2 linked regions of the Bombyx mori genome follow. The protein of the gene in region 2 interacts with the protein of the main gene of each other region in a pairwise test. Links are inferred from orthologs where the notes say so. Each region holds a gene or a part of one and is shown on either strand. Other genes may lie near its edges.

The links. The genes of interacting proteins can lie anywhere in the genome.
Region 1: the proteins of developmentally-regulated GTP-binding protein 2 (region 2) and RWD domain-containing protein 1 interact in binary tests that used the Homo sapiens proteins (3 or more experiments, as listed by UniProt). The link is inferred for Bombyx mori from reciprocal best matches to the Homo sapiens genes DRG2 and RWDD1.

The regions. Positions count from the first base shown.
Region 1 is NC_085115.1:12,171,065-12,175,445, forward strand, and holds the start of RWD domain-containing protein 1, read left to right. Parts: upstream 1-1,495; 5' UTR 1,496-1,641; coding exon 1,642-1,711; intron 1,712-1,905; coding exon 1,906-2,108; intron 2,109-3,263; coding exon 3,264-3,407; intron 3,408-4,381. UniProt on the Homo sapiens protein: Protects DRG2 from proteolytic degradation.
Region 2 is NC_085123.1:13,400,637-13,402,996, reverse strand, and holds part of developmentally-regulated GTP-binding protein 2, read right to left. Parts: intron 2,032-2,360; coding exon 1,924-2,031; intron 1,288-1,923; coding exon 1,130-1,287; intron 665-1,129; coding exon 538-664; intron 1-537. UniProt on the Homo sapiens protein: Catalyzes the conversion of GTP to GDP through hydrolysis of the gamma-phosphate bond in GTP. When hydroxylated at C-3 of 'Lys-21' by JMJD7, may bind to RNA and play a role in translation.

The DNA of each region.
Region 1 (4,381 bases), on a different chromosome or scaffold from region 2:
TTTATTACAAACATAAAAATATTTTTTAATTATTGAGTTAACATGAAAGTTAACAGCTGTTTTTTTTCGATTTAATAATTATATAAATTATGAACATTACATTGCGCTTCATAATTTTATTATGGCTTTACCTATTTCATCATAGCGTTGTGCTTAATAATTTCACCAGCAGATAACAAACACGTCTTCATAATACAATGCTGTATGTTTTCCAAAGGCACATCAATATTACGGTTTTACATAACAATAAAACCGATATTATGAGCCGAGAAGGAAAACATACAGCATTGCAGGAAGTTCTTCCTGGTGAAGACTATGAAGATCAAAGATGGCTGCGCTTCCTTTATACTTGCTGGCAGCACCTAGCGGCTAAAGATGGAACTAAATTGACTGTCAATGGTTGGACATAGACAAGGAATTTAAGCTAAGTACACACTGCTTCTTCATAATACAATGCTGTATGTTTTCCTTCTCGGCACATAATATCGGTTTTATTGTTATGTAAAACCGTAATATTCGCCAGACTAGACATCACAGTAAGGCCAATAAAAACGGATAAAGATTTTCAGTAGGTACATAAAATAATTATTGGTTGAGGAATTCGTTAATAAACTTTTATTTTATTTGGTAGAAGTTTATGTAGTAAAGAAACTGTGAAATTTGAATACGAATTAATCGCATTGCTTGAAACAAGCAGGTTCTGTGTCTTATTTTGTAAGTTATGGAACTTGATATATTTAAAATTTATGGAAGGTTCTAACCACCATATTTTAAATCATTTACCCTGTTTTCCAATTACATAGCATAATGCGACATAATGCGACTCAGTGGCGCACAATGCCGAATTATGCTTGAGAGTGCTCGATTGTGGGAAGCGTTGCTGTAGTTGGAACAATCAACGTTGAGCATTATGCCGCATAATGCGCTCTAGTGCTATAATTGGAAAACAGGGTTAGTGTGTATTGTCTGTGTTTCTGTTATTATGCTGACGATAGGGAGGTGGTGAGGAAGAGGTAGCTAAGGTAACTATAGGTAAGGTTTTTTTAAAGGATTTTGTGACCTGGTAACTAAGACCTCCATGTCATGACTTATTTTATATTCATATTTGAAACGTGATAATATGGAGTGAAAGGAAATGAAATGAAGATGATTACTTTGAGACATTAATCAACTGGGATGATATGAAATGATATGGGATGAAATAAATAATCTCATTATTATAGGTGAGGTATTTTTTTAAGGGATTTCATGACCTGGTAACTAAGACCTTTAAGTCATGTCTTATTTTAATTTATATACATATTCTTATTTTTATGAAAAGTGATAATATGGAGTGAAATGAAATGAAATGAAGATGATCAATTCGAGACATTAATCAAATGGGATGAAATGAAAGGAAATCAGATGATATGGAATGAAATATAGTCTCAGTAATTTAAGTGAGGTAGAAAAAATTAAACACAGATTAGCGAAACGTGGCAAGACTTCTTAAATGTCTTTTATTTCATTAATATACTCTATGTCTTCTTTTCAACCATTCTCAATTTAAAGAGTAAAGTAAACTTTAAAATTGTTTGAAGTAAAAACGTGAAAAATTTGTAAATTAAAAATACATACTCATTAATAATTGTGACCTAAATCATGGATTACAATTACGAACAAACTAGTGAAGTGGAAGCATTAGATTCTATTTATTTCGGCGATATGGCAGGTTAGATCATTTGAAAAAAGGAATAAAATTTTATGTTTATATTTGTTGAAATTAAAGAAGCAAGATTTAAGTCCAAAACTGTGTACCGATTCTTTTATTTAAAAGCAATGCATATTTAAAACAGTTTTATGGAAAAAGTTAATCATGCATGCTTCACTTTTATTAATTAATGATCATGTTATTTTATTTTGTAGTGATAGAAACAAAACCATTTCACAAATTTAGTATACCTATAAAGTCAGAGGGGTTTGATGATGGAGAGGGGTTGGCCTGCCATCTAGTATTTACTTACACATCAAAGTATCCTGATGAATTACCCATTATTGAAATTGACAATGAGGAGAATTTCGACAATATTGTTGATAAAGAGGAACTTCTCACACATCTTGCTGAACAGGTAAAGATAGTATATACATAATTTGTATATATTTAATTGAATTGTTATTTTACAATGAACATTATCAGTTTTTGTTGGTGTGCATGATTTAAAACCTAGATATTTTATGTTTGTCAAGTCTACATATAATAAAGTACATACATACATTATTATTTAATATCTAATAAATAAGTCTTCATTTTTAGTTTTTGACAAACAGATTAACATTGATTACCTACTGTATTAAATTTTTGAGACTTGATAAAAATGTATATCACATTAAAATTCTAATCTCAAATATATTATTTTATGATTTCCAAAATTTTTTATGTTTAGTGCTCATGGACGACTATGACGAAAATCATATTATCAAAGTATGTTAAGTATTACAGAACCAGCGGCATGCTTTCAACCAGTTGCCCATAGTTATTACTTGTACAGGAAGCAGTACTTGTAAAACATGGTTTTGATAGTAATATAGTAATATTGTAGTACTGTGTAAATGGTACAATAATTGTGAATAATTGTTAATCTGTTTTAACACAATTTCAAATAATTGATATTGGATTGAAAATATGAATTTTTGTTTGAATTGATCTCGATTTAGGAAAATCCCCAGCTCTACTGATACTGTAAAATCTTTCATTTAATTTTTAGTAATGACATATATGTTTTGTTTTATGTAAATGGAATTGATAACATTTTGAAAATTAAAGTGAAAAGTAAAAAAAAAGTCCTTTTATTACAAGTTTATATGTGCATAATAAATTCAATTTGTGGTAAATCGAATCTTGGACCTTAAATTTAGATAGATAATGACTGAAAAAATCAAGAAGCAAAAATATTAATAAAATTTATTTTACTATATTATTGTTGTTGTGTCATTAAGGATAAGAATGTATAAGCAGTCTGACTATACTAGAACTCAAATTCTGCAGGCAGATATAAATTTAACCACAGAAATACATACTGAATAAGAGCTCACAAACAACAGAAATCAAAAGAAATGAAATTGCTTTTAGGCACTAAAATCATAATAATATTGAATAAAAAAAAATTGAAAAAAACAAAACCACTAGATTCATCTTAGACCTTTTAATTTCTGTCGTTTACTTTAGAACGTCTAAGCTTGATTATTTATGGCTTATTTCCTTGTTTTCCATTAATGTGTTTCAGGGTAAAGAAAACTTGGGAATGGTCATGGTATTCACATTAGTGTCAGCTGGACAAGAGTGGCTTAATGAGACTTGGGATAAAGTTAAGAAAGAGCGTGAAGAAAGGATACTAGCCAAACAAAAGGCAGATGAAGAGGCAGAACTGGTAACTTAATATTTATCATTTTTAAGGTTCATTGGCTAGCTATTGGAATATTAATTCTTATTCATTAATTATTATTATTTTATGGATTTTTTCTGAAATAAATGTTTTATTATTATTAAGTCTTATCATACCCATATCAGTTTGGTATCACTACATAGTATAAAACAAAGTCGCTTTCTCTGTCCCTATATCTGTCTGTCCCTATGTATGCTTAAATCTTTAAAACTACGCAATGGATTTTGATGCGTTTTTTTTTAATAGATAGAGTGATTGAAGAGGAAGGTTTATATGTATAATAACATCCATTAAATAGTGGAGATATAAATAATAAATTACAGTTTCCGAAGCGAAGCGAGGGCGGATCACTAGTTGTATATAAAATTCAGAAATAAGATTCTAAAAGCTCTTAGACAATAATATGTAAAAAATTGGAATAAAACTCACTAGAAGTCACCCATAATTATTATTCTCTATCATACAACTTAGGGATGAAAAAAAAAATTCTTAAAATATTCACTCTGATATGTATTTATTAAAACTGCTTCCAAAGAATTGTCATTGTGATTTGTTATAATAGCCGGCAAACTTCTTGAGCATTTGTTGACGTAGTGGGGGTAAGTTTGCGCATGGTACACTCACGTGCAAAAACCTTATTTACTCTGCATCATAATGCAATTAAATTATTAAAATCAACATATGTATTTATTTATATATTTATTAGAACATCAACAAAAAATATAGGTTAATAATTATAATAATTTAATTTTGGGGTAAAATAGATATTCCTTCTATTAAGTCAAAACTAGAGCTGTTGCCAGGTCTTCGTTCAGTTGAAGCGAAGCTGGTATTTGTAATTTTTTTTCGTTATCATAATCTTGACCATTATCATCATCACTGTTTTCATCACCCGAGTCGCCATCATCGTGATAAGTCGACATAGGGCTCATCGGTGTAGTTTACGACTCGGTCGGTTC
Region 2 (2,360 bases):
ATTATTAATTAACTAATAAAAATTGGACGCCTACGATGGGCAGGACATGTGGTTCGAATGGAGAATACCAGAAGGCCAATACAACTGCTCTATGGCAAACCAGAGGGCCGCAGAAGTCGTGACAGACCCAAACTCCGATGGTTGGATGGCGTGGAGCGCGACCTCAAAGTTATCAGTTTCAGGAACTGGAAGGAGAAAGCCCTGAACAGAGCAGTCTGGAGAGACATACTGGACCAGGCTAAGGCTCACCCAAGGATGATGATAAAATGTTAAGTTAGGGGAAATTTGAACTTGGTCCTAAAATTCCTTGGGCCCGCAGTCTGCTCCCAACACTTGCAGATCGTGAAGTCCCACATGACCACTAGGTGCGGTGACCCCGTAGGAGGTTTGGCACCCGGCACGAACAAAAAGGGAAAATTTCAACTCTGTGGTTAATTTTTTTTAAGTATGTAAACTATATTATATCAACACTCCAGGTGTAAAAAAAACCTACTCAGTTATCATGTAAAATAAATAGGAAATAATTAAACAATTCACCTTTCTCAGGATAAGTCCATCATCAAAATCTGGGGGCTGTCCAGGCTTTTTGGTATATACCCTGATAAGAGACAGATATTCCCAGAGTATCTCTAGCAGATAATCCAAATTCAGTTTCATATTACAACTGGAATAAAATACAAAACGAATAAATATTTTTTGTGATTTACTAGTAGGCCCAGCAGTTATTCTGCTCTTAATATACAAAATTCTGGAAACGAATCACAGCATCACCTACAATATCCAATTAACGGAGGGGCGAGTTTGATTAAAATCATAAGTGAATTGTAAATTTAAACCATAGAGAGAGACCTACATAAATAAAATAAAAAGAGAACTGAATAAGTTTAAAGTCGTTCACGAGATCAGTGACAAAGAGATAGATACAATGATAAAAGATACAAGAAATAGATACAAACCACATGAATTTAAAAAGTCTTAATTAAATTTTGAATATGAACCTTGAATATTTTATACAATTTGGAGATAAAACAAATTATTAAGTTCTCTCAATCGTTTCTAGTTGCTAACTTTGTCTTCTTATTGGTATTTTGGTTGAATAAGAACTAAATCTAAGCAAAGTACAGCTCACCTAACGACTACAGAATGCGGTTGTCTCGCTATCCTGTCGACTTCCTGGATGGAGATCTGATCTATCTTGTTGTAGACGTAGAGGCAGGGCAGGTACACTCTGTTCGCGAGTATAACATCTATGAGCTCGTCCGGTGTGCAGTCTTCACGGAACAGAACCTGCGTTTTTTTTTTATTAAAACTGCGGGTACTAAATAATATTCTAAAAACACAAATTTTGTACTACACCTAACTACTACGAAGGACATTATTGCGTAATAAAATGAAATGGGCTAAGAATTTTTAAAAAATAGTCCAATTGTGATTAGTAGAGCGTACATTGCGTGCCCATATGAATAGGTACCACCAGCTTTTGTCTTATACAGTAAATTAGCTGGCAGCCGTCCACTGATTTGTCAGGTTACCAATATTTACCCCTCCTTTGAACACATTTCACATAATAGTATTTGCCTAGTTTCAAAATTGCAACAGCTGTCAAGAGTGGCATACATATTACTGGCATAAGCACACTCTTCAATATGTAAATACATCAAATCCAAGTGAAACCAGTTTCAGTAGGAAAACAGGGGATCAAACTTTGATGCCCGTATTTAGTCAGTGTTTAGTAACTATTGAAACTATTCTCAGTCAGAGTCTGAACTTTTATTAAAGATTCAGGGTTTAGTTTGTATTTGTTCTTGTGTCCTGGGTTTCCAATATGCATAATCAAGACTGGGCTATGTTGAATATCGAATGGAGGTCTAATGGTCTTATACCTAGGTTTGCCTTTGTAGGTAATGACTATATACTACATACCTCAGCATTAAATATCTTGTATTCATGTAAGATCATTTGCACCATTTTCTCATCAATTTTAGTTAGTTGACAAGTTGAGTTAAATGATAAGCCACCACCTTTTTTCACCTGTAAGTTAATGAATTATTTTTGAGGTAATTATAGTTTCTGACAAATTTTTATGTTATTACTACTGTTTATGTGGACAATGACTCATAATTTTAACTCCAGTTTGAAAATTACAATTAGAGTTGTGTTCAAATTAACTAGACTTAGATTTCACATCTTGAACTTACCTAATTTCTACATTATATTGTCATAGAACTAATAAACCCGAGACTAGGGATTGAATTAATCTTCGGAGTCATATACTTCCAATTTTTGGGTAAACATAAAAATTCTAGAAATATCAAAACTGACAAATTTCTTAACATAAAAATTACAAATTAACAACTGAA